Styela clava: one gene and its partners. The protein of the gene in region 4 interacts with the protein of the main gene of each other region in a pairwise test. Links are inferred from orthologs where the notes say so. Each region holds a gene or a part of one and is shown on either strand. Other genes may lie near its edges.

The links.
Region 1: the proteins of membrane-associated guanylate kinase, WW and PDZ domain-containing protein 3-like (region 4) and catenin beta-1-like interact in a two-hybrid assay, tested with the Caenorhabditis elegans proteins (2 studies listed by BioGRID, with this or other methods). The link is inferred for Styela clava from reciprocal best matches to the Caenorhabditis elegans genes magi-1 and hmp-2.
Region 2: the proteins of membrane-associated guanylate kinase, WW and PDZ domain-containing protein 3-like (region 4) and 43 kDa receptor-associated protein of the synapse-like interact in a two-hybrid assay, tested with the Caenorhabditis elegans proteins (2 studies listed by BioGRID). The link is inferred for Styela clava from reciprocal best matches to the Caenorhabditis elegans genes magi-1 and rpy-1.
Region 3: the proteins of membrane-associated guanylate kinase, WW and PDZ domain-containing protein 3-like (region 4) and alpha-adducin-like interact in a two-hybrid assay, tested with the Caenorhabditis elegans proteins (2 studies listed by BioGRID). The link is inferred for Styela clava from reciprocal best matches to the Caenorhabditis elegans genes magi-1 and add-1.

Annotation. Positions count from the first base shown.
Region 1 is NC_135250.1:17,838,769-17,845,875, reverse strand, and holds the start of catenin beta-1-like, read right to left. Parts: upstream 3,008-7,107; 5' UTR 2,904-3,007; coding exon 2,693-2,903; intron 2,364-2,692; coding exon 2,167-2,363; intron 1,811-2,166; coding exon 1,631-1,810; intron 1-1,630. UniProt on the Caenorhabditis elegans protein: Required for cell migration during body enclosure and cell shape changes during body elongation. Plays a role in recruitment of the cadherin protein hmr-1 to adherens junctions.
Region 2 is NC_135255.1:10,699,353-10,706,610, forward strand, and holds the start of 43 kDa receptor-associated protein of the synapse-like, read right to left. Parts: upstream 3,005-7,258; 5' UTR 2,976-3,004; coding exon 2,620-2,975; intron 2,072-2,619; coding exon 1,783-2,071; intron 1,474-1,782; coding exon 1,336-1,473; intron 1,021-1,335; coding exon 799-1,020; intron 420-798; coding exon 366-419; intron 63-365; coding exon 1-62. Other genes in the region: neuronal acetylcholine receptor subunit alpha-7-like, read right to left, coding at 5,190-5,271, 5,395-5,508, 6,458-6,549, 7,219-7,258.
Region 3 is NC_135258.1:23,366,918-23,374,864, reverse strand, and holds the start of alpha-adducin-like, read left to right. Parts: upstream 1-4,940; 5' UTR 4,941-5,043; coding exon 5,044-5,088; intron 5,089-6,367; coding exon 6,368-6,517; intron 6,518-6,916; coding exon 6,917-7,043; intron 7,044-7,732; coding exon 7,733-7,759; intron 7,760-7,947. UniProt on the Caenorhabditis elegans protein: Membrane-cytoskeleton-associated protein that promotes the assembly of the spectrin-actin network. Plays a role in time-dependent memmory loss and the retention of conditioned behavior over time.
Region 4 is NC_135257.1:12,831,199-12,838,282, reverse strand, and holds the start of membrane-associated guanylate kinase, WW and PDZ domain-containing protein 3-like, read right to left. Parts: upstream 3,014-7,084; 5' UTR 2,962-3,013; coding exon 2,798-2,961; intron 1,792-2,797; coding exon 1,661-1,791; intron 267-1,660; coding exon 150-266; intron 1-149.

The DNA of each region.
Region 1 (7,107 bases), on a different chromosome or scaffold from region 4:
TAATTCGAATATTTTTAACGAATATCGAATAGTCGAATAACGAATATTTTTATGCACAATGGAAGGTCCAGAACGTCGGTCGATACTTCCTTTGGAAATTAATAAGACATTGAAAAATCGGCTACAAAGCGTTTTTTTACTGGTTGATTTCGTCATAATCGCTGATCGTTTTTGTCACAGTGACCGTTTTTGCGGCGATATATAATCTATATTACCGGCATTACCGCCCTTTCTGTTTTTTGCAAGTATTAATTCTTTCGGGTCGTCGGACAAGTTTATATTTCCGGTTCACCCGTGCGTTCACGTCGGTAACAGCTGTTAAAACCATTAAGGATTGATTTCAAACCCAAATTAATATTATTCTAATTTTCATCATTTGCGTTGGCTTTCATATTACTTATCAACGTTTGTAAATTTACCGTCACAATATCAAGCGAACGGTAATATTACTATTGATACCGGGATGCAGATATTTATTAAGACAATACCAAAATTAACTTTGCTATGCTTTTCTATGGTGTCTATGTTACTTTACAGATAAACCTCGCAAAGCTGCGATTGCGTCAATCTCGAATGTTGATTTAAAATGGTGAGTGGTGACTAAATAATTCGGCAATAAAGGCATTTCTGCGTAGCCCTATGAAGAGTTGACGTTAATAAACAGCGCTTCTTGAATAATAATTTACATATGCGACCCGATGCTGAATGAAAAAAATTGCTCTTTTGTGCCTAATAGATTGCCAGGCGCTAAATATAACTAAATCTTTCAAGTTCCGACGTTTTCTTTCAAGAAACCCCGCGATCCATCGTTACAGAGTAATTCACAATTTTAGTGCAAAAATGCTCAAAATATAACGAATGTAATCATTTCCGATGATACAACAATTCGTAAACAGTGCGCGTTGTTACATCGAAATTCACGACTGATTTTACGTTATGATTTTTACACTCCACCCGCCATGCATGACCGAGTGAAACGATTACATTTTCGAAACATCACTTGGTCAAGAATGAAAGGGATCACCAAAGAATTAATTGAAAGTACATTAAAAGAACTATGTTCTGCCATTTCTTTTCTGGTCATAGCTTGTGCGTGTTATACTATGTATGGTTTCATGCAAAGGTTATTTCAAATTTTAATTTTCGTTAAACAAATTTATGTTTGGTTCACGTGCCGCCAACCATACGGAGTTTAAAATCTGGGATATTTATTTTAAATACCTCATCTGATTTGTCGTTTCTAAATTTAGGGAACGGTGTCGGTATCTTTTTTTGCAAAATAGGCAGTTGAAACGAACGATTGGAACGCAAAGAAAACAAATAACACCACAACGCAAAGACAATTTTTCAAATTTGTCGCTTTTGTCTGTTAGCGAGCATTGTAGGTGAATTCTCGAGCAATTCACGTTCGGTTCAGAGACGTTCTGTATCCGAGTGAAGCGACACAGATCACGTGGTACCCGATATTTGAATAGTAAAATGCCATTCAAATAATTTAATATTCTATTCGCTATTCGAATATTTTGCCCAGCCCTAATAGGCATCCACAGTGACCATCCACAGTGACACTAGATTCTCATCTGTGAAAATGCCTCTCATGGAAAGATGTCTCCATCAACAATAGCCTTACCTGCATTGCTCTCACAAGCGCAGCAATCATTCCAGGGTTATTCATGATAGCCTGACGGCTTGCAACTTTCTTAGAAAGCATATGAACCATCTGTGCAGCTTGTTGCACGACAACCTGATCTTCATCATTGAGTAGAGTGGTTAGCTCTGGAATTGCTTTTGTAGCAAGATCAGCATCATCCTAAAGGAACAAAGATATTTAGTTTCGACATAGGCAACAATCTAAAATTCATTCTGATGTGCAGAGGGGATGATTGTTACTGGTCGCACAAATTTTGGGGTATTTTTAAATCTATAGCAACATTCATCATCTTTGGCTCTTGTGTTTTGAAAATCATAACACTAAATGAACTAGGACTGTTTCAATATATTACTGAGTTACAAATATCTACTGAAACTATAGAATATGGCTGTCCCTTCACTTGTGTAATTATGAGGTAGTGAATGCCACATAAGTAAAGCATTTCAGTTCTTTGTATAACACTTTTTTGTTTGATGGGTACACTGACGTATAATACAATATTTATATCTTAATACCTGATAGTTGATAATATTAACAACAGCATGTTTCAGCATTTGAGATGGTTCCGCCAATCTTTGAACAGCAGTTGGATTGTTGGGATCAAATTGTGTGCTCGGAATCTGCTGCATGGATCCATCATCCATTGAGGTTTCAGGAAAAAGAACATCTCGAACTCTGTCGGCGCGAGTACGAGCAAATTGGTCACTCAATTCTGCAAATCAAAGTTTCATATACTAAATAATAAGAAATAACTCAATAGCGCATTCCCCTGTATACTTCAATTCCGCCACCTTCGTTGTGAAGGGCACCACAAAAATTTTCAGCCTTTCATATGGTCTTAAAAATGTGATCACATTAAAATAGTCAAAAATGTGTAAAATTGTTAGGCATAAGACAGTTTCTTGAAATTTTCAGGAATAAAGCTGGAATTTCCAGAAGACAAGAAATATAAAATTGATTAAACTTTATTGATACCGTACCTACATAAAAATATCGCATTATGATTCTACTTGTATCTAAAAACGAAACTGATAAACATACGATTTGCTTCTTCCATGGTTAATTCCCTTTGCCATTCTCGCAAAACTTGCTCGGTGTCTGTGTAGTCATCCACTGTTCCAGTGACTGATGGATTGGCAGTTGTTGCTCCTGAGTTGATACCAGAATCCCATCCACCTTGCTGCCATTGGTTCATTTGAGCTTTGGGATCTGCCATCGGAATATCTCCGGGGCTCATCATCATTTCCGCCATGATTGATTAGAAGTCCCAACACAAATATCAATAAAATTGTATTTAAAATCTTTACTTAAAATGCTTGTTAAAATTCAAACTAAAAACAATAATTCAGTATTTGGTCATTATTTATGACTGGAATATCCCGGGGCTATCATCATTTCCGACATGATTGATTAGAAGGCCCAACAAAAATACCAATAAAATTGTATTTAAAATCTTAACTTGAAATTGAAACGCTTGTTAAAATTCAAACTTAAAACAATAATTCAGTATTTAGTCATTATTTATGACTGGGTTATAAGTGTATAAGTATAGTTTGACTCCATAATCAGCGTAACAATAAAATGACTGTTAAAAACGAATAAATAAAAATTGATTATGGAATCGGGAGAGCTAGTTAATCATAACACTGTTTTTTCTGAATACCTGTATATCAACTAAGCATCGTATATAAATTAACCAAAATCTACAAATTTTTAACTTGACCAAACCATGATACATTATTTTTTGGCAGCGCGATGGTGGGCTTGGTGCCGTACTATAACTGTATAAGGAAGTTTCTAAATAATACAGTAATACTACACTATCTAACTGATATATTCAGTATATAGCTGTAACTTCGGCCCGGCAGTTCGACAAAAGCTAAGTACGGTACAATCAATTTTCCCTGACCACTTTTCGGGCTGGCGACAATTTCGTAGACTCGTACTCGAGTGGGCGGAGTGACGCGTTCGCACACACACGCGAAATAGTTCGTTTCATTTTATGTACATAATGAAATCGAATTTTCGACAAGAATGTACGACGATACTGTACCTTAAATGAAACTAAACTACTTAATTCCGTTCCTTTACGATAATACATCGCATACATATTCAGATATATACAAAAACCCATAGCGCCAAGAAAGAGCACATCCATTATGACACTTGCGCTACCGCAGTCGAAACGTACGAGTGCTTTTCAAAATGGCGTCAACCAGACGAGAAAAAGGCGAAACGGAGTCGGGAGAAAAAGTTTGTGGGCGACAATCATTAGTCATCCACGGCGCACAAGTGCAGCTTGAAATTATGACGTATCCAAACAAAACCACTGACTCGCCACAGAAAAAACTGACACGCGTGACTAGGCCTCCCGAACACTCACGCGACAATACAATAAAAAATCGTAAGCTTGAAAAGACGATCGCTGCTGTTTCCTACGGGAAACGGTAAAATTAGCCGTGAAATTGATAACCCAATGATGTCAATATTTATTTATCAAAATATGCAATACTGTACTCTAATCAAAACGCACTAATCAATTTACAACTGTCGTTCAATTCAAGCGAATATTTAACGCATTTTTAAATTGATGTAACGCTGGAATCAATTTGATTTATATAATCCTGCGTTTTCATAGCAAACATATTTCTATCCACGATGATATAGTCTTCTGTCGGTATCGATATCCGCTTTGATTTGTGCTCGTATACAACGACAGGAAAATGTTAAATACGGAATGTTTTCAATTAGAACAATAGCTTCATTGTAGACAGACCAGTATAATCCGCATCCGCTCAGCACGTACTTACCGCTGGCTGCAGCCTTTGGATGTAACTCCCAGTGTGTATTCCGCGAGTGTGCGTGAAACAGCCACGCAGTTTGTTTTGACATTACTGTAATTGTTTCAGACGTAAGTTCGCTTGTAGTTCATTGCACGATGTTCTTCTCCTTCCCTACAATAATAGAAGACATCTTGCAGGAAATCCTACATTTTCGGCATTTTCTATCCGATACTATCCCGTTGTTGCATCACGACTAATTTTCTCTGATTCTGCGTCTTATGTGAGGCTATTGCCCGACCTCTTTCTGTCTATCCTTATGTTTAACAGAAACGCTCAGAATTTATGTCCTTTTGGCGCGTGAGTACAAATCTAGTTTACATGTCAATCAGAACACGATTGACACAAGTGCTGTTTCGTAAACATAATCCATTCCCACGAAATGCATGTATGTTATCAATAAAACGCGGACATTTCCAGTGGCGGATTTGATTACGATTAGTGACTTATTAAATGCAAATCGATAACACGAAATAAATCAAGTCCGCGCCTGGGGTTAGAAGCTTTTAAGCTGATTACAGCGGATTAGACATTTAAAGTCATAAACCGACTCAATGGTATTGCTGAGGGCCAGAGCAACATGCAATAGGAATATTCAACAGAAAACGCATGCAAGCGCGCAGATCACAAACAAACTGAGCTAAAGCGATGTCGTTACAGTTAATACTACCTTGTGGATGCGTAGAAGGGTTAGTAAATCGCTAGCTTAGGGAAAACAAAGCCTTATCAAATCGTATAACATAGAATATACGTTGGCCAGGTGCCACAAAATAATTACTGTAAAACAGATACACACTGAAAACAGACGAAAAGCCTGACACCGTATACACCTAAAGCCCGATGAGCGACACGGGTATACGAAAGGTGTACAGCCTAAATCAGAAAATCTAAACTCTAATATATATAATAAATTATAAAATATTCAATCGGAGACAATAATGGAACCGCACACGAAATATAAAATGTTATAACGCTAAGAACCGACGTGAGCACGTTGTTACATCACAAATTATATAGATAATACGATCATGTGTCTGGGTTGGTGATTTCGGCTGCCATGCACTTTGTTTCATTTATGTCGAACATTATTCCCGTCGACGCTAAGGCAGTCAGTCAAATTTATAACCTGCGGTCGCTAGCCTATTAGATTGCATGATGATATTGCAGTACAATATGTGCTTACAATTTATTGTTTATTTTGAGCCGCCTTAAATAAACATTGGTATTTGTAAGGTATACAAAGTTCTTGAAAAACTGTAAAAGGTATACTTCGATAAAAAAGGTTGAAGAACACTGGTCCACAATCTACATTATGCGCGGCAGTAGTGATCCGAATAGGGAGCGCAGTGTGAGCGCTACTCTACATTATACGTAAAGCTTCACATTATACGTAAAAATAATGGTTCCCAAATCCTGACATAGTTATTGATTATTCCGATAATTTTGTATCTATGTATTTTCTGGAGACCTGATCCATTTATTAAAACAAAACTGATCCGGGTCGTTTAAGAGCATGTAGCAGACTCTGTGAAATTAGATGCAATTAACACCGTTAATTTTTTATCGCTAAATGTATAATAGCCAACTGCAAGACGCCCCTCATTCTCACACACGCCAAAAGCGACATATATCCAGCATACAACCAAAAAGTACAAGTATACATTTGAAACCACCCCTGTGAACGCCTACACTTCACCGAACCATGGTGCTATATAATATACAATTCCGAAATGGAGGTATAACATTGTGAGTGTCATACATACGATCGACAACCATCGTCGTCTTTTCTCGCCGGTGTTCACATACATAAAAGCGAAATCCCAAGGGCGAAAAATTTTATTTGAAAAAAAATAATTATTGTCCGCGGTTGTCCTCAATGCGTTGATATAGCAGCTTTATAGTCAGTGGTCTGGTGGGTTTTGGCGAATATTCTGAACAAAGATACCATTTTACCCCAGGAACACCGGTTCCACCTGACTGATTATCACCGTCAAATGTTATCATGTTAGCCTAAGGCTGTGATATTATAGCAGGAGAAAGTACAGCACATTTATTTTCCATATTTGGTAAACTACGTTGATAACGTCATACTAGCCAGGTACCGGTATCGTATCTGAAGCAGAACACAAGTGAAAGACTCAAATCAATAAGCCAATTTAAAAATAAATTGAAGGATACAAATATTCAAAAAAAAGGCAAAATTTCGGTCAGAATGGTGCTCTCTCGCATAGTACCAAAACTACGATGCTCCCGAAGTATGCGAACCAAGATGGCGGACATCGGAACGTAACATTGGTGACAGGTTAGGGTTAGGCGATAATTTTTTTTCAATTTTCCTTATTTTAGTCCTATTATCAGTTCGAAGACTAGCCAAGAGTCTCCCGTAGTATTTATACCTAAAATTATGGCCGAACCCTAATCTAGTACACATATTACATTCCGATGTCCGCCATCTTGGTTCGCATACTTCGGGAGCCCCACTACGGTGCTTCTAGTGGGATCTCTCTGACTCTCTCAGTGTCGTGTGTCACGACTCAAATAAATTTATATACGCGTCAACTCGCAAATATACGTGTTCCACTTTCGAATACTAGCGAGGCTTATTGTGTAATTAGT
Region 2 (7,258 bases), on a different chromosome or scaffold from region 4:
TGTAAATTGTTTAGACGTTGTTGCGCCACGGCCAGCTCTCCGTAAATGCTCATGCTTTCCATCTAGCGGAAGATAACATAAATAATAAAAATCATCATATATATCAATGTATCTTGAAAGTAAAGCATCTTAATTAACCTTTGTCGTTAGTATAAAAAACAGATAAAAATAAAATAAATGAGTTTTTGCTGAAGTGTAGATCAATATTTAGTGCTGATGTAATGATCACCATTTAATGAATTTAAAAAGGTGCCAACGTTCATCAATTTGAATACTGTTATATATAGATTAAACATTATTCCGAGCTTTAACGCAGTATATACTATATATAAAATTCGTTACGCCAAGAGAAACGTTGCACTTACGTTTGCCTTAATTTCTTGTGATAGTTTAAGAGCATCGTCATATAGTTGGATCGCCTGTAATGATATAGTATTGAAGTGAGAATTGATTGGACCTCTAGTTTCCATAGTATCAGATATTGCCTGGGAAACTCTATATGAGATTAATTCATTGAAGTTGGAAGACCTAAAGATTGTACATGGCATGGCTATCCAGGCTAACCTAACACAAACGATTCATAACCATATCTGTACTATTTTGTATACTTGAGGTAAAACTATCACGCTGGAATCAAAACTATATATATATATATATATATATATAGAAAAATTGGGGTGTGCTGAACGCATGAGATCATAAAACCATACGAAAGTAATAAATTATATCATTGTTACAAAACCAATTACCTGCTAAAAAACTGTAAATATCAGAATTATATAGCATCTAAGAACTTACTGTTCCATAATTTTTAGTCTTTATATGCACTTTGGCTTTGCCAACCAGAACCTTCACTTCACCATAACGATCACCAATTTCTCGCATCATTGAGCCAGCGGATTCATACCTAGGTAATGCGCGTTCTGGATCTTTCCTTGTTCGATGAATGTCAGCAAAACACAACAAACAATAAGCTTGCGAACCTCTGTCACCGCTTTCAATTGCAAACTTCAGAGCTTCCTGACAATAAAATAAAATATTTGAAAAAAATACGTATTAAATTGAAATTGTAGCTTCAACATCATGCGATAAAATTCTTATAATCAGATGTCCACCTCACCAGTGTCATACAGAAAACCCTATAAACATTTAAAAATATTATATTCATCATTCATATATTCATCATTCTAATTGTGGAAGATTGTACTGCAATATATTTTGTTACTTGACCCATATACAAATATCCTATTCTGACAACTGCGATTTTCCTTGTTTGGAGCGCTTGTCTGTTTTTTGAAGTCGATTGTGTGAATTCTGTTGCAATTGATTTGGTACCTCACTACAGGACATCGCTTCTTCCAATTTTCCGACTTTTCTGTAAGCTTCTCCCAAATGTAGTTGAATGAACGTTCTGTTTCGTGGGCTGTCTTTTTCATCCAAAATTTCTGCCGCCTTCAGAGGAAAAAATGTGGCCTGTAAAAAAATAATTTTGTTGTCATGCTTTGTAAAACTCTAAATCAGTACTACCTAAAGCAAATGAAACATAAACATCAATCGGTATAATGAAAAATACATATTTTTCTGTTTATTCCAATATTTTATACATAAAAACTTGATAGACTGTGTTCATTGAAAATCGTAGAAAAAATAGTGATCCAATTTAATAATGTTCACAACGAAGCAATTCATTGATAGAAAAATCTACGTTGAATTATCTTCCATTTCACTTTATATTTGTTTTATCCGCATTTCAAAATGCATGTATTATATTTAATTTCCCACCTTTTCATAATCTTTCAGGTTAACATAAAAACGCCCAAGAGCACAACATGACATGCATTCCAAATCGGTGTTTTGTTGAGAACTTGCCAAACTCAAAGATCTTTCTAGATCTTCTAAAGCTTTTCTGTGGTTTCCTAAACGAAGTTGTGCACTTCCTCTGCATAGATGGATTTCTCCTGTTATTCGTAACGTTACTTCGCTGTTGGCTCCTCTACATTTGGCAATGAATGTCAGACTTTTCAAGCAATAATCGACGCTTTTTGAAAATTCTGACAGCCACAAGTTAGCCCTGGAAAATTAAATGATTGTTTACTACTCTTTTAGGTCTGAAAAGCAAAATACGATACCTAAATTCAGAGAAAAAAATACAAATTCAACAACATATCTTATACTAATTCTGCCTTTGATAAATTAGAGAAAAATGCAACCTATTTCTCCAATTGAAAACTAGATGAAAAACCGGTCCCCAAATTCTATATGATTATATACTCTCAACATCGTTTTAAATAAATGAATTTATAGGAAAAATACACGACTATGATGTCAGATTATTGAGTAGATTCTATTGGTGATTCTATAATTAATGATTATATTCATTCGTTATATTGAAGTAATTATTCATCCAAAGCAAATTGGTCTAATAACCGAAATCCGAAAATCCGGTAAACATCTAACATTGCTAGCAAAAGATTTTCTTTAAAATCAATCCTAGTTTATCTTTTATCAAAGAAGTAGTTTCGTTCATTCGAGTCGATGCCAGTTTTGTTTTGTCTTACGTGGCGACAAAATGTTCGTTATATAGGCATAGGCTAATGAAAATGAATACGTACTACTTACCTTGCTAAATTTAAATACGAGTCAGCAAGAGTTGTATTGATGCTTACGAGTGATTCTCCACCCATAAAGTCCGACTGAATACATTTTGTTTTAATAGCTTGAGCTATTTCGATTTGTTTGACTGATATTTCCAACATTATTCTGTATCTACCCCATCCTTCTACAGTTCTGATTGCATATCCAAGCACGTTCCATCTTTCTTTTGGATTGCGAACTTTTCTGCAAATGTCTTTCAGCCAATGTTTTGCTGCTGTCCCATCTCCATCATCGATCAGATTTTTCAATTCTTCTTTGTACTGTTTTTCTAATTTTGCATCATTCGGACTTCGACTCTGATGACCGTTATTCTGCCCCATATCTATATTGGAATCTATTTTTATTTTTGCTAGAATTGAATTAAATGAATTTGTTTTATAAAGACCGAAATTCCGGTAAATTGTGAATATAAAAGCTGCATCGAATGTGCTATTTGAAATTTGAACGGAATTTTCATTGGAAAGCTGTACATACTGTAGCTGCACTATACTGTACACGCAAATCACAAATCTCGTTATTATGAGCTACAAACACCCTTTTCCATAACATTTTATCTATTGTAGATTTCTTAAGCATTGTTCGATTTTACTCGTATTTTAGAAATCCATATACGATTTGCTAATAATTTCATCTGTTTGTCAAATGTTTTATACAGCTGTCATTGTACTAGCCGTAAATAAAAAATATTTACCGGTAACTGGTGCTTACCAACAGCGGTTTAACTCCAACTATGACTAATAAACGCACACGTACTTCAGTCAAACGGAATTTCTACTTGAAGGTATCCTATATAAATTGTCGTCACTCTGAGTTTATTCCGCAACCATACTCCCGAGAGATTTAGCCAGTATAGCGGTAGCTCAAAGACAGACAAGAAATATTGTTCGACACTGTTCGTGTTTCTGCTTCGAAGTGAAATGCGGCCGTGACCCATTATTAATAATGTTAATACCAAAACGATTTCAGATCCATTAACACCTTGGTAATGACATTCCATGGCGTCAGTAGATTGCATAAGGCGTCATGTAGGAAGGAAATGTTTCAAAGAAATGTTGTGAACTGTTTCGTTTCATGTAAGAAAGCAAGTATATATGAGAAATTGAGAGTATTCGAACTTTTCAACTTGAAGGATAAAAGCTCCAAGAAAGTATCCTTTGTTGACACCAACCTTATTGAAGATAAATTTGAAGCTAATATTGATATTGATATCACCGACTCGGAGTCGTGAAAAACCTAATATCTATTCACTGTTTCTGCAATTCCTTGTTCATCTGTAACGAGTATCTTTCGTTAGATATAATTCAATGGTGAAATAAATCAATATTTAAATAATATAAACATAAAAATCAAAAACTAAATAAGGAATACTATCAGCATGGCTGCTATTCGCATTATATTATTATGCCGTCCATTGCGCCCATCGAATATTAAACAACCAAACTAACTATTTATCACTATTTGCAAAGGCTTGTTCCTTGACTGATTTTCAACTTGCCTGTGTCCGATATTCTGCAGCTAACTCTTGCTTTCCTCTCAACGTTAATCCCTCGTAGGTTGTATCCCTAAGCGGAGAATGTCTTAATTTACCAATTACATCATATACATTCTTACTATCCAAATATTTTCATGACGTCATACTAAATTGTTCGATCGCCAGGGGTATTGAAGTTCATAAATGATGAAACATTATTGAACATGTTTTCAGTTTCTAATGGTTTAATGGGGTTTAGATAAGTGTCAAACACTTTTGAAGGATGAAGAGCTCTATCGCCGAAAACAAATCTGTTTTATGTCAAAGTATATTAAGTAATATTTAACGCATCCCACGTTTGTTTATGAAGATTCAAGTTATCAAGTGTGCTATTAAAAAATGTTATCAAGTGATGATTGTAAGATATTCTGGTTTGTGGTATTCTGGTTCTTCCATCATTATGAACACTTATGTAAGTCACTTAATTTTCAAGATTGAATAACGAGATTTTGAAATTTCAAATGGAATATTTTTAATAGGTTTATTCACAAACAATTGTTAATTTGATAAATATTATATTTTTGATTATCCTGGGTATTCATTAAACACGACTCCAAATTAGTTCAAAATATTACAAAGAAAAATGCTTATTCATTCAATATTTTTACAGACTCCCCGGGTAAATATAATATATATACAACTTCAAATGCAACCGTATATAAGGCCATTTTCATTTCATATATAAAGCCTAAAGTCCAAACTACACAGAAACACAATATTTTGCAGTGACCTTGCAAATGTCGAACTTGGCACACGACAGAAAAATGCAAGCAATGCAAGAAAAAACTAAAAATAGTTAGGTATTTTAGAAGGCACTAGAAGGTCAAGCAAAAAAACCACAGATGTTGCAAAATACTACATAAACATATCACTAACAATCATATAAATTACACTCAGAATCAAAGTTTCAATTGGATCAAAAGTGCTTAGAGTCAGTGTTTTCAATTGAAAAAGTTTTGAAATATTTTTCCGAGCTTCTCATTCACTTGTAATTATTCAATATTTAGGTTGTGTGCGCTGGAGGCATTCCGACAGTAAAGAGAGTTGACAATAGGAAGAACAGTATAAAGAAGACGAGACAAAATCTGAAAATATATTTCAAGAAGTTTGAATCATTTGTCAGAACCAATGATTTTTTCCATCTGCATAATCCTCTTCAATTTAATAAGTAGACATGATTTATCCTATAAAAGATTTTTGTAATTTACCTGTCCATAACACGGGCTGCGAATCTCCATTTTACAGCGACAACATCATCTTCTTCCTCGTCTTTCATGCTTTGTACAATGTCATGCAAGTCTCCACACATTTTGGTTATTTGCCTGAATGAAAAAAATAATCAAGGAATTTGTCATTGTAAACGTTTCACTGATTCCATAACCGTACAATGGTTAAGTTTCACATACCGTCATCCTATGCCATATGGATAGCTACGTGGTGCTAACTAGCAGTAGTATTGAATTTGAATGTCGACACCGTAAATCTACCAAACGTAGTTAATTGATTATATTCACATAGTAAATTAAGATCTGTAATTTTTCTAGGTAATACCCAAACTTAAATTGAACAGAAGAAAACAATAGAGCAATGCTTAAATACATAGGCACCGAAGCCGAAACGAAGTAGTATCAAATCATTTACAGTACCGGTAGTCTAACCACTAGATTGTTGAATGCGATCACCGAACCACGACTAGGTGTGTAATTTTTAATTTTGATGAGGTCATCACACAAAACTTGAAAGTGAATAACAAATCACATAGTGCCACAAAATCTTGAAATATATATATATAAATGTAATACGATTTTAAACCACGGTATATTTCAAAGCAATCGGACCAGTAGTTAACGAGAGAGGCAATTTAAAAAAAAAGAATACTAACAACAGGTCAACAGCACAGATAATATAACGACTCATAGGTTCAATTCGTATTCAAAAATGCATAAACAATGTTGGATTCATTTCTTGAGACGATGTCTATTTACAAGCTCAATCGACCGATAGGTATGATTATTATAATCTATAAAACATTTTCAGCGATTTCGCAGTAAATACCGACGTCTCAACTAATGCTCTTTTTCATTTAACTAAATGTAGATTATTCAAAGATTCAATTTTGTTAACTTCTATTTTATTGAGAGTGTCGAATGTCTGTCAACGATTTCGAAATTGAACGTCACAACAAAACAGATTTTGAGATTCATAATATTTTGAAAATGAATCTGTTGATTAACAGGCCACCATGAAATTGAAAGAGATGTTATCACTTACTTTTCCGAATGCCTCAGCTGCATCGCCAGCACTGTGTTCGGATCCTTGTTTTGCTGAAAATCATTTTGAAAACTACCAAGCCTTTCGCCCACCTGCGATTTTACATATAAACAAATACTGTAAGACATATTCACCAACCTCAATGAGTGAACAGAACTTTTTGTGACCTGATTTGTCCTTTTATGTTTGACTTATGTTGTAGAAAGGTTATCAAAAATATATCGAAGTATGAATATGCATGAACATAACACAGGTTTATTACGCTTACGAAAATTATCATTAAATGTCACTTTAGAAATGAAATATTTCTACACTATTCTTTTCATTGTAATGCACTATCACCACTAGATTTCCTGAATTCCTAGAATTTCATGTTTCAAGACACCTGGAATTAATTAAACCGTGACTAATGTGACTCATTATGTGTAGAGATTACATTTGAGGTTAGGCCGATGTAATAGGCATGAAAATGATGCATAATCAGCTACCGGAATTATGTAAACATGATCACTGATATGGTGAAAAACACAAAAAATAAACCAAAATATTAAGGGAAAATTTCATTAAAAAGTTAATTACGAACGATATTTCCGTGTTCTATGTTTACCTCCCACCCATCGTTGAGTCGTATACTTTATAAAATTTTATACACAACTCTTGGCTTAGCAGGGCAGTCCTTTTTCCAGTTATATTAAATGAGAAGTTAAAAATATGATAACACACGCCCTGCCATATAAATATAATAGTTTTATTTTTCTAACCTTCATCAATGGGAGTTCATCAGTCCCGTTCCCCACTTTT
Region 3 (7,947 bases), on a different chromosome or scaffold from region 4:
TTCTCACAGCCGTAACTCTGATATCAAATATCTGGTCTCGTGAAAGAGGTCTAATTTTTAAATTATAATCTTCAGAAGGTTCTTCATGAATGGCTCCTCCTGCGACACCAAACCGAATTGTTCCATGACCTATTGCCTTTTGTTTCAATGATTTTACAAAATTACGTCTTACCAAAGAATGGTTACTGCCACCATCAAGAAAGAAATTTGCCTTGATCCATGTTTTGTCACTCGCCTGCACTTCTGCAACAAGTAATGGAGAATAATCCAAATTAAAAGCGCTCAATTGTGTTGAATGCATCTGAGATTGGTTGAATACTGCTGCATTAGAGTGAATATGTTGACTTTCCAAATTCGAATCGTTTATACCAGAATTTCTCATTGTATTGTAATTTCCCTGTACTTTTCCGGGACATAATGACCAATGATGCGGTCTTTGGTTACAATTTACACAGCTATCGGCTGTTGTTCTTGCACAATTTCTTGCAAAGTGAGTTCCTAGACATATAAAACATCTTCGATCATCTGCTATAAAGTTTTTTTCTTTCAGGAATTGATAGGTTTTGATATTTGTTGCAGTCTATAAGGCGGTGCTGAATTCCACATTCAAAAATACAAGTGACTGTCCTTTGACGTGGCTGAACTGAACCCATGTTATCATTCTCGTCTGTAGTATGATTAACCGTATTGAAATTAGATCTTGGCGACTGGTTTTGTCTCGGTCGAAACCTCATATTCTCGGTTTGATTGATAAAGTTACCAGATATTTCCAACGCTGTAGCTTCAGATCTCAGAAAATTCGTTATAGATTCCAAGTTATGATTACCTTTGCTGGAACTATTATATCGCAGTGCAGTGTCTGCATCTAGACACTCTAATGCTCTATTGACAGAAATAACCGAGTTTGCATCCTGTTTTAACCCAAGATCTTCCATACGTCGGCAGAAGAGAGAAATTTCGTGAGTTAGTCGCCTAAGGTTCGCTGGATTACGAGAGGTCTTATATAAAGGTTTTATTTGCTCGTATTGCTTGATTACTTCACGTTGAACTACTGATTTAGGAATACGCTCTTCCAGGCGTTCCCATACACTTGAAATTGATTTACAGTCACATATCATTGTTTGATAATCGTTTGGCATTGCACCATTGCGTAACAGTCATGAAATTTGCACTAAATCATCCGTAATTCTTGCATGGTGCATTATATGTGTAAAACGTTCTTTCCAGGTATAAAAGTCTACTTTTTGTCCGTTCCAGCATGGCGGATGCATACCACATAACTTAATCATAGGAGGATCATTATTATAATTGTTTTGAGTGGTTACAAGAGATGATATCTCCGGCTTTATATCTAGTTTGTCTTCATATTTCTCAAAATCGATTGCAATCTTGTTTTCCACACGTAAAATTTCTTCACTAAATTTGGATATAACGGGTTTTTCCTCACTTTGTGTAGTACTGTCTTCTTCAATTAGAGCCAATTCCATAGTATCAATTAGACAGACCAAAAATGCTATTTTATCGTTAGCATCATGAAACAGTATTTTGACCTTTTCAAAATCTCTTCTTTCCAGAGAGTGCTCAAATCGTGTTAAAATTCTTTCCAAATTTACTTTTGAGTACCGGAAACTTACTCTTGAGTTGTTTGAAATTCTGACCTTGAAAATATTCTGACATTGTTAGTTGGCATTCTTGCTTTGATGTATTGCTGAATCCTCGAAAGGTTGAAGAAGAACTGCTTGATTCAGACTCCAGTTTGTAGGTGTAGGTGCAGTATCATTAAATGTCACTAGTTTGGATTTCTGCCCATTGACAAATCACCCTTGCCTACTATGTCTCTTTAACTAATATCCCAAAATGAAACGAATAGATTTCTCCCAAAGTGATTTAATCCAGATATCAGTAAGACAAAGTGACCTGACAAACAATAAAGATGAATATTAAAATGAGTACAGGCAACCAGGCACAATACAAAGCAAGAATATACCAATTCACTTACATTTAAATGAGGCTTTGTCAGAACAGATTATCCCAATGTAAGGAACTTATGAAATAGATTATTCATACCCAATGACTATAGCACCATTAACAAGCTTATGAGAACAGATCTAAAGACAGACTAAAGCTCTAGACAGTTAACCATAACAAGAAGTAATCAAGTAATCAGCCAATAATCGCGATGCAGTGAACTATACGTAAACACACCAAAAGTAAGTAGTACCAAGATAAATCAGTCAAATGTTCAAACCAGGCGGGCATTTTAAGTCGTTACGCGGGACGTAATTGCCCCACTGTTTGGGAACCCCTGATCTACACTGATAAATATGCCATATATATTCTATATAATTAATTAAATACAACCGAGTTGGGAATTACAGAATGGAATCGCACCTCAAAATTAGTTGGGGTGTTTGAAAAATAGGGTGTGTGTGTGTGTGTGTGTTCACCCCCTATAGCGGGGGGAGGGGGGTGTAAGGAAATCGCTGCATGGACTTGATGGTGGAGGATGTTTTAGCATGGTGCTACTGATACCGCAATACATGCATAGCAATCGGTTACACGTTGACGGAAATAGAGATGTTTTCGGAAGACCGACAAATCGATACAGATTAAGGAACATACGGTACCCTACCTCAATCAAAGTTAGGATGCGACAAAAACAAGTTCTAGTATGTAGGCTATACAAGCTAATTTCAAGCGCGGAAGCGAGGATCGTCGATTCGAGTTACCGGTACTGAATTCTGGAATTATAGGACAGTATAAGCAAGTCACAGCAGTTCAGGCAATCTTGGACATTTTTAATATATTATATGACATTATAATTTATCATGTTCTTATTGATAGAATTCACTGCAATAAGGTGGATAGGTAGGAACGCTTCTAAAACAATAACCGGTACCGTACCGGTACGTGGTACCGTACCGGTATGGGGTCTGGTACGGTACCGGTATAGTTTAGTACCCACATGCACTTCTAGTTGGCCTGGCTCAACTATTTTTGCATATGTCAATCCTAACCTCTACCTGACTACGTCACCGAAAAATTAGGTCATTTCGACGTCACAGTGGCGTAATAAGGCCCACCAAAGCATGCGGAAGGTAGTCCAAAACGCGCAGACGATCATCCGAAATCGAGCAAGCTATTTCTCTCGTTTTTTCGTCACAACGATCCCGATAGGAGAGAGATCGCCGACGTTAAGCGAGTTCGTTATCAGCGGCGCAGATGCCATTTCGGGCGATCGTAATTATACTTTGACAAGCCCTATGACGTGATGATGACGTCGTAGTGACGTAATTTTTGGATGGCATACGGTAGTCAGGTGGGGGTTAGGAATAGCATATGCAAAATTCGTTATGCTATGCCCACTGGAAGTACGGTACTTGTGGTAGACTACCGGTACCAAACTATACTAGACCCCCAGGCATGCAGGTACAGAGGTATGCTCGTAAACTAAGTTGTACTTGTTACCCATTCAGGCTGGCTGCATTGAATTGAAGACTAATTACAGAATTAATTGTCCTGACTGCGACTGACCTTCAAAAATAATTTCTCATGTTATGTCTGATACAGATGTAGAAAGCACTATGAGAATAAATTGTGAGAAAGTTTGGCTATAGGTCAAGCAATAAGCTCACGGTACTACGGTATCTGATTATGGTACAATCTGACAATAGACAGATAGAATGGGAAGATCATTTGGCGCGGCAGTGTGGCTCAACGGGCTAAGCGTTAGGAATACGCTCGCCACCACACCTCTAATTGATCTGCGTGGGTTCGCATCCCATGCAGGGATGGTTATGTGCGAGAGGATTGCTGGACTCCTCGCCGTCGTTGGGTGGTTCACATAACCGCTGAACTTCTAACTATTATACATGTGTCCATCTGCCCATTCACGAAGTACATTGTTAATGCTGAATATCTTTTGCTCTTTATACCTAACAGTCGGTTACGGCTTCCTCCACCACCAAGTCCATGATTCCGAAAACAAACAATCTAACTAATCCCATACCCGACTTGGAATGGTAACCGGACGAGAGGTCGTGGTTCGCCATATGGATAAGCCATCTTATTGGCTTTCCTCTCCCCCCCCCCCCCGGGATAAATATGTAAATCCTATCCTATCATTGATAACCTGTTTACAGTACGGAATGTCTGAATGTGTATGGAAACTATTCACTGCAACAATACTACAATATGGCACTGTTCTCCGATTCCAAGAATGGCCCCAACATTAAAATACATTAATTATAATAGTGAGTGCAAACTCTTCCTTCACTAGATACAAACAGGCATTGCACAACAAAACAAAAACACAATTTTGGTCATGTGCCTGCGACGCAGATCACAAAAGATTTAATTTATTTTCGAGACAGCGTGGCACAATCTCATGTTGTGCCAAGCGTCCTAGTTTCAGACACAAATAGAGTGTTTGTTTCATTGAACCAAATGTCAGAATGTTGGGACATCTTGGAATCGGAAAACTGTGCCCTATTGTACTATGGGAAATAATCTAAATTTTTTATGACGTATTCATCCTTGAATGCGGTACATAAAAAAGAATCGTAGACAGATACGATATTAATTCATGCTGAGAATGATAAATTTCTAATTGATAAAATTGGTAAGTGAACATTTGGTTTCTTTCTATAGTAAACAATTTGATTTGAAATCCATCTGCTTAATTGTCATTAAATGTGATCATATTACTGTATTATGAAAAGAATGAAATGAACTGTATGTATTCAAATAAAATATAACCAGAAACATAGACAATTTCGTGGCTCGCATGAGGATGGCACATCTTATCAATACAGTAATATGTAATAAGTTTCATCCAAATCAAATGTGCAATGTAGTGTGACTTTTGTTGGGTTATTCAGACTCTTTCGCTAATTGATATAATGCACCCATTCATTTTCGCTTGCTAACTTTTTAAACAGTTTTTTGTAGTGCACGATGCGTGGCAAGTAGTATTTAATGTACTCATTTTGAAATTTAATGTGTCTAGTTATCTGAAAATTATCAGTTCGAAATATCAATTAAATGGCGATGAAAAGTCCTACAAGAACCAAGCAATCTCATAGAGAGGTATTTATTGGATTTTTCTTTGGTCTGACCTATAGTTAAAATATGGTATCTGAGTAGTGGATCATAAAACTTGAAATTTGTTTTAGTGAGGCATGAGTGCTTTTCTCTTAATACAGTAATAATATGAATTGTTAATGAATGGCCTTTGGGGGGTTGTCAGTTGTAAACAAAATCAATAGAAGTACTTGTGATACTAAACTACACTAGACCCCATAATTTAATATATTTCAGTGGCAGAGTACCGTATATGCTCGTTTTTTTAGGGCCCGTTTGAAAAGCCGCCCATGTGAACAGAACATAAAAATAAATAAGGGCCGGTGCTTGAATGTAAAAGCTGATTTTTCAGTGGTAGAGAATGAGAATGAGTGGTAGAGATGTAAAAGCTGATTTTTCAGTGGTAGAGAACAATAGGAAATAAGAAGCGCTTTTGTCACAACGCTGTTGAATTTTAAGCACCTGTAGATAACACTCACGCCTTAGGCGTCCAAGTACATAACAGATAGCATTGATTACGTAACACCATGGTTCTCAAACTGGGCGTCGCGACGCCCAAGTGCGTCGTTTCAATATTGATAGGGCGTCACAAGACTTTTCTTCTTTTGCGGATTTGTACCTGCGGTGCGTAGAAAAAGTCAAAATTTTCATTATTCTCGTTTGAATCATACTGGAACTGGAAATAACAATGTATTAATTATTGTAACGATCGAAAATAACGAGCGCCCGTCTTGAATAAGGGCCGGTTTGGATAAGGGCCCGGTTAGTGAGTTGGTTGAAAAAAATACGGGCCCGGGCTACAAAACGAGCAAATACGGTATGTTTGTTTTCATGATTTACAAATCTTGAAAGGGTGGCACTTGTCATGTTTGTTTACTCAATTTATAAAGTTTTGATAAGTACTGAACTATATGTGTATGTGAAGAATTCAAAATATAACACTCAGTGATGACCCACATGAAGTGTAGGCTACTCAATATAGTGAATGCTCGACTCAGTGATAATTTAGAACAGTGGTTTCGAACCTTTCAAGAAATAAATTCGAGGAAATCTTACAACCCTTGGTATTATCAAATAGTATTGAATGGCATGTAGTGCTTCTATGGCCAGCTTCGTCCCCGATCCAAGCTGGAACAATAAATTAGTAAATTAATTATTTCTGCTGTATCCAAGAAAATGGCCACCAGACGAAGGATCATGGTTCGCCATGTGATTGAGTCAGCTTAACTGCTTTTGTCTCCCCTAGAATAAATATAAACGAATGGTTTTCTATTCCTATTCAAAGATGCTTGATCCTCAGTCTCCAGGAAGTCATTCAGGTGTTGATATCGAAGCTGAGCTGGGAATACATCCTGTTAGAAGGCCAACAGGAATTGATCAAGATGTCAATGAGCTAGGACAGCAGAAACGAGTTTCATCTGTATTAACTAGTCCGGTAAATTTACTTATTTTTAGTTGCTATGTGACCTTTATTTTGTATCAAATTGTAGTGAAGATAACTTAGTTTCTTGTGATAATCTATATTTTATTCAAGTTTTTTAGTTTGTTTGGGTTTATTTTTTATTAAAGAGCTAACATCGGAGTTTTCATTCAAGTCTTTAATGTGCAATCCATTCTCATTTTGTTTCTCTTTTAAGTATTATTATACAAGATCCAACTATGAAATCAAAGTAATATAGATTGAGGGTTAAGTTTTTTAGATATATATGGTTTTCGCTTAATTTACGCATGATCTCACGATTATGACTTTGTAAATGTTAACAGTGAATATTCATAGCGAGTGTCAATATTAGCTCACGTAATAATTGAACTGTGTTATAATTTTCTTCAATAGGTGTTCAAAGAAGAACTTGAAACTGTAGTGACTGACTTATTGCGTTCTGGTGATGGTGGAGGTCACGTAATTGCCAAGGAAATTGCAAATATGTTGTCGCCGATGAGCAGATCTCAATATAGTCTGGGTAATTTATTTAATTATATATCAGTTCATGCATGGTTTTAGCCATTAGGGCTATTGCTGTTAGTGCTTCTTGATGCTATGTCATCCAATCCTGCCTTGATATATAAACCAAGAAATTTTTCGATATCTCTATTAAAGGAAAGATTGATTAACAATAGTATTTCCCAGAAAAAGACTAACAAATATTAACAGCTATACTGACTGCTTTCTATTTGTAATTGTTATTTTAGCATACTTTTAAAACATCCTAAATTGAAACTACAAAATATTATTCTGCTTAAAACATAATTTGTCTTACAAAATCTTTTGTACCGCTCAGTCTCGGCTCACTATTTTTAATGGTCGTGCAATAAAAACTCCCCTTCTAAAACACAGTTGGGTATTGCACAGGCGCTAATAAGCAGGCTTTCCTCCATGCCAGTTTAGAATTTAGATGTTTTGCAAGTTGTTACATCACTACTAAGTTTATTATTCAGTTTCTTTATTGGAGTAAATTTTGTTCAACTTGCTTTGTAAAACCAATTCCTAATATGTTTTATGATTAAACGCAGTGTTTGAACCGGTGCTGCTATGCATTACATATTTACAATATTTAAAGTTTATGTTCTTTGCTCAGCTGTTCTGCTAGTAATTGTTGGTATAAATCAATCTATTCGAAGTTTTCACTTGTTTCTTCTATTACTTGTACAGGTGATGGAGTTTTCAATATGAAAACAGGTGACAATGATATTGTGTCATGTCATAATTTATTGCAATTTTGGGTTTTGCTTGCTCCAGCATTGCTATAGTAACTGGCTGTAGTATATATATTATATATTCACATAATTAAATAGTTCGATCAGTTATGTTCAATTGCATGCTCGATTCAATCAGAAGATATTAATAATAGTAACACTATTGTTAAT
Region 4 (7,084 bases):
CTGATGAAAAAGAAAATTACAATTTAAATTCATAGAAGTAAATCTAAGACTTCCTATGCACAACTTTCTCCCAACATTACCAAATAAAACACAGATACAAGGAAATCATATTAGAGATTAGTTTCATGACAGATTAAAATTCTACTTACATGGAAGTGTCCTTAGATACAGATTATCTCTGATTGCAGCTTGTAAATCATGATCAACCGCTCCAAGTGGAAACCTTTCACTCAAATACAACTTGAGATCTTTTGTTAAAGTTTGACCTGAATAGGGTAGTAGAAGTTGAGAAATGAAAGGAAGAGTCGGAAGAGTCATACATTGATAAATATATTTATTGTATGACTTAATGTGCTTTCCATAAACTAAGACTGTTAGATTAGTAACATGCCAATATCATTTGGTTTCCTTGTGATCATGTGTAAAGAGAATGGTTATGGCTGGTTGAAATCTCTTTTATAAGTTGTTCAAGCATGGGCTCTAATGGTTCCATAGCTCAGTGACATTTTTATCCTTCCTATTATTATAGTAGTAAATAATCTGAAATGTCCTTGATTCTCTTTTATTTTTTAACTTTGGATTTGCGGTACATACCATATTAACTAGATTACACAACAACAAAATAATCAATAGCAATCAAAAATCCAATTACTTTTTAAATGCGTGTAATATATACTTCCTATAATAAAAATTGATTCAAGAGTTACAGTATGCTAAAGATTTATCCATGTTGAGGATGTATATGAAAAGAGTGTACAAGTCAAATCTGATTTCAACTAATAGGCTATGAAATCAACGTTGTATAACCAGCTTATCAAAACAGTAAGACATAATATACAAAACATTCTTCATGCTCAATTAAGCCTAGTAGTGACAATCTGAATATTGGTTTCAGTTAGACATATGCATAACCTATGTAAAAATAGAGTACTTATACTGCTTTGCAAAAAAACATGGATATTATCTATTACTTAGTTACACAGAATTCGACATAAAAGAAGGCGATGCAAGAGTCTTAATATAGAACCTTATTGAATTATATTTAAAAAAAAATTAAAATTTATTCCGAACATTTTTTTTTGACATTCTCCAAATTCCATTTACAATAGTTTATGAATCAATATTTCATATTTATTAAAGCAACTGTATTTTAGTCAGAAGGGTTCAAAATGAATTACGGTAAGTGCTTGAATATATTTGAAACCATATTCAAACTTATTAAAACTTTTGTTTTTAAGGATAACCGAAAATATTCTCCTTTAAAACTTTTCCCTTTAAAAAATAAAATATTGTACAACCAAAACATAGATTTTATTCAATTGCAGACAAAATGGAGAACTAGTCTTACTTGTAATTTATTATTTTTCAATTCATAATCATAAATGTAGAAAAATATTAAATATATTCAGATTGAAAAAAGATAACTGATATTTTTTCAAAACATTTCCTCTAAAAAATCTAATGTACCGTAATTTAATTAGTAAAAAGCTTTTTTGAATTATCTAAATTTTTTCCAATTGAATACACAGATAACCCAAAGTTGAATTTGTTGACAGACATCCTTAATCACAAAACCTCTATATTTCCAGTTCAGAGTGAAAGTGTACTTTGCTGGGGGTACCAAAATATACGATGCACCGCACAATATATAATAAAATACCTTCTTTCACTGTTTTAAATCTGACAGGATCCTTGGCTTGTTTAATTAAGTTGTTGAGATCATATAGCGTAAGACCTGCTACAGACTGATCGTTGACTTCAAGTAGGACTTCACCATCTTGAATTTTTCCACTGAAGAAAAGAAGCGAAGTCGTTAACATGTCAGCGAGACATGCGTATTCATAGTTTCACAAATACCATTGACTCTATTTAATAAACAGGTTACACCACACCATTACACATATTAATACAAATACTTGATATAAAATAAGGCTTATACCAAGTACCTATTTAAGTATTTACTAAATTTTCAATAAAAAAAACGGATAAAGTGCTTGAAGAAGGTAAAATTTACAAGAGAAAACCACTGGTAATTGCCAAAAATAACCTTCTCATTATTCTATTTTAACATTTATAAACTACAACAGCTGGTTGTTAAAGATTACATACAATATAAACCGGAAAGAACTTGTGCCAATGACAAAATACCTGTTGTAGTATTTGGCAACATAAGCCTTCATGTATTCCTAGTAAATCTTATAGCAATCATAATATTTAGAAATTTAACACAAATCTATTTATATACCAAAATCCGAAACGAACATTGATTATGCTCAAACATACCAGTACTAAAAAAAAGTAATAATATAGCCGAGTACGAGTGTGAGCATAACATAAACACGAGAAGATCAATCGACACCATTAAATATGATTTTAAATAGCGCTTAACTAAAATGAATAAGCTTTTAAATACAAAACTTCATTTTATCATTGAATAATGTTAAATATAAATAAATTTGATAAAAAATCAGTGAGAGCAATGCTTACAGCTCAATAATTCCAATAGTCCACTTTTTAATTCTGTTTAAGTGAATGTTTTCAGAAACTTTAAATTAATGCTTTGGCAAAAGAGAATCATGATGCTATGATTATAACACTCGTAGACGAGTAATGTAAAAATAAATAACGAGATGATAGAAATAATATACTTACTATACTGTTAGTGTTGAAATATTGAGTATTTCAAATATTTACTCATGCATGGTTTAGAAACAACAGCGTATAAAAACGAAGTATGTAAAACCTACTTCTATTATTGCACTAGCGAACAATTCAAAATAGCAATAATTAATTGTACCTGTGATAAATAACTTTGTCTTGTTTTACAGTTCCAAAAAAAGGAAATTTAACTTCTTCTGCACCTCCTTTTATAACCAAGTTTAGTTGTCCGTTCTTATTCCTTGAAACAACACTTTCATGAACTCTGTCAGACCAGTGTTTGTGTCTTTTACCAGAAGCCATCTTGGCTTTCTATACTAGTTAAAATTAGAAGCATATACTGAAAAATATTAGCATCAAATAAATTGGTTAAAAACAATTCGCTCTCTGATTATGTAATTGTCCCGGAAGTGAATGTTTCATCGTTTATTTAAGATTTAATCAAATATTACAATTCAGATGTACGGTCTGCATACTTTTAATTCGTAAGTGTTGAAAATCCCTCAAAAAAACTTGTCGATTAAGTATTATACATATTATCTAAACAGCGAAATATAAATATTTTACACCATAAATGTTACGTGACTGACCAAACTTGGGCATTCTGATGTCACTGCTACCGCTGTGAACAAAAGATATTACACTACACTTGGAGTGAGACAATAACTTTCCCATATTGCAGATGTTATTGTAGCATTGTTTGTCAGTCAAGACGCATGATATTCAGCATGTTCATTCCTAAACTTGCATTTGTTACATAATAATATGATCTATCGGACTTGCACAGACTGAAATAATGTATGTGTACCGGTTTATCGTATTTTGCGCATGTTACAGTGCTGTTTTTTTCCTGTTTCAAAACACACAACAGGCGCTGTTGCATGGAATTGGTTCAAGCCAATTTTTTGAGGTATGACATGATCGACTACTTGAGACATGGCGATCGACGTGATGGCCACCCCTGACTTATAATAATATAAAGTTCTGAATCATATTTGTAAAATTACTCAATGTATGAAAAAGATTATTTATTTATACAAATAATCAAATAACAGCATCTCATGCTAAATAAGAAAGAATAGCATTATTCATCCAAACCCGGTATATTTTGACATTCAAGTAGCTGCCTACAGAGCCTTGTTAAGAGCATTCATGAGTGTAAAAAACTCATAATAAGTTGGTATTGCTGAATACAATAAAGCCAGGATTATCAACTGACAGTTGACATTCACAATTTTTTTTAACCATAACACTGAATAACAGGCGAAATGAAGACTACTGACAAACGTACTGATAAAAAAAACAAATTTAAGAATAAACAAAACTAATAGTAAAAAATAAATCTGATAAAGAATAAGAAATCACATAACACTGTAACAGCATTACTGAAACGCCTAATTCCTTAATATCCACCCAAAGATAATTAAAACAGGTATTTATCACAAAAATATAAAGCCCTAAAAATCTCAACCCACAAAAAATTTCGCTGTTGCCATGTCTTTTCTATCCGAATAAATATAAAAATTCTATCCTAAATCAGTAAATTCAGAAATTGGATCCTCTCAGTCCAAGATCCTGACCTTTGTAGTTTCTATATTTCTGCTCAGTGCTATATTACAATATTACGAAGTAGGTACAGAACCATAACCTATTAATATTCTGACATTACAGAGTCGCTAGTACTGGTATTCCAGTATTCAGAACAGAGAGAGAGAGAGAGAGATTTATTTTTTTCGTCAACCAAAAATAACAGTCATCGTAATAATAATAAAAATAACAATAAGAAATAAATTTGTTTGGTATAGACAGGAGGGAGTGATACGACCAGACGGTCATCAAAGTCAACTCCCCCCCTTCAAGCTATTATGTTTAAGATCCACAGTTTCAGATGACTAAAATATTGGGGAGGAACATTCTAGAATTTAAAATTATATTCTCAAAATGGAAGAATAAAATTGGGGAGGGGAATGCTAGAGTAAATCATTTTTATTTATTTATGTGGAGCGGGATTTCAAAATCTGAAGAGATTCCAAAGGTTACTGAAAGAATTTAAATAATTTATACACAATATGTGATGAATTAGCAGAAATGCTTCATTTCATGGCATAGGTACGCATTGAAGATGTAACAAACATGATCTGCTTTGATTTGTCTAGATTAGGAGGGGAAAAAAATAGTTAATAGGACCTAACAAGCATTATTTCAGCATAATAATCAACAATATTTTGTCTGCAGAGGGATGTCAAAGTAGTATATAAAAAGACAAGTGAAAGATAAATAAAAATGTAAATAATTATAATAGTATGAGTTGATGTAACAGCAAAATATAATGCAGTATCGTAATTTCATTATCACAAAATATGAATATAAAAAGCATCATTGGCGAGTTGTACATGAAAAGGAGGAGAATGATTTCTAGGGAATAGTACTAGATTAGTATATCAAGTCAAAGGGTCTCAAATGTAGAGCAATTCGACCTAAACACAACTGGCATTTAAGTTTGCCAATTGTGTTAGAGGATTTTTTCAATGTTAAATAATTGAAATATAATAATTATTTTATGATTGAGTAAATAGTTGATTTATAATGGACACTATGATTTAACAAGTCTAGAGATACGAAAAGTTTTCACATTTTAACAGGATGTACTATTGAGTTGGTAGTACTCCACTGCTATAATGATGGATTATAAGACCAGGAGGAAATTATTCATTGATGCCTAGAACCACAGTAGGCCCGAACGAGTTGTATAATATATACAGGAAGTACTCAAGACATGTATGCTCAAATCCGTCAGTCGAAAAGAAAAGAACTGTTTTAGGGTTACAGATAACGGGACGGTATCCATATTTTATGATTAGTCACAATAGTACATTCATAACATGACATATTTTTTGTAGTCTACATAAATATTGGGCAATAAATACATCAGAACAATATGCTATAGTCGAACCTCGACGATCACACGACATAATTCGACAACAAATCCTATCACCCACAGCCAGTTTGAAGCCTGTATTTAATTTTGGGCCAGCCCAGTATAATGGCGCCTCTAGTGATAAGATTCGAGTTATTTTGACAAATTGGACAAACCCGGTATGTTAGTCGTTGGACAAACCTATGAAACTGGTTGTTTTCAATGGCAGAATGTAAAGTAGCACACAGGTATTCCTAATATCGTCTTGCGAAAGTATATAGAGAAATGTCAGGACATTTTATGTTATTTCAGTAAACTCGATAAGGCAGATAAATCATATAGCAAAGTACGCCCTATCACCCGGTTACCGGTCCAGCGGAGTATTCGAGACACTCTTATCTTATAAACGCGTTAGTAAATCATCAAATTTCTCGCAAAAATTAATAAATATTGGAAAAACTTTACACTAGACTGAGCATTGAAAAATTGTATGCGTCAAATCATTTTTTTTCCAACTCATTATTCATTTATGAATCCCTTTTATCAAGTATGTCGTTGGAAAATAATGACGAAAAAATCTTCGTTAACAACGAATAGTGTTCTTTCTTTATTACCAGATATATTAAATGAACTAGAAAAGCGATTCTCAAAGGGGTCGATATCGCTTTGGGGCCGAAAGAGATAAAACAAAAGGCGAAAAATTCCAAAAGGGCGACAGGGGGGCGATTGGGAATTCTCTCGAAAAGTCAAATATGGTGAAAATTGCCAAATATGTTCTTCAGAATGACGCGGGTATTTAGGCCGTGAACATCGGTATTATATCGGTAGACCATATTTTCGAGAATTCTTTCCATCTCACAAGTATCCCCGTGGATATGTGCCAGCGATGACGATAAAAAGTTTTTTTTCGTCCGAAACTGTGCGCAGAGTGTAAAAAACTCTTTATAATACAATCATCTGAGACGAAGAAGAAACCATAAATTTTGTTTTAGGAGTGCCGCGACAGATTGAGAACTCTATTTTAGACGGGAATAAATTGCAAAATTCCGGAATTTTTTCCGGAAACTTTACCGTAGTCACCTGGAGTTGATTCATTCCATTACTCATTATTCATTATTAAATGTGGTGATGGCATAAAACTAATCAATGTAAAATGTGAAATTTTATCTTTGGCCTTTAGATTTTGTTAACGGCGATATCTTGAAAAGGATCCTGAGCGGCACAAATTACCACAATTGCAAAAAATGAGAATCAATTCTAATTATAATCGGATAGTATACCATATATATTTTATGCACCCAGATTGCAATATTCCAGCGCAAAAATACCTTTTTTTCATTGTATGTAGGCGCAACGACGAATTACTTTGAAAATAATTGAATTAATATGGCAAACCCTTGTTGATACTCGTATCAGCGCCATAGTTTGGCGCCACATAAAAATCATCATCATCAAAAAAAACAGACAGTTTTAACGAATGGCATAATTGCTAGCGAGAACCGAGGACAT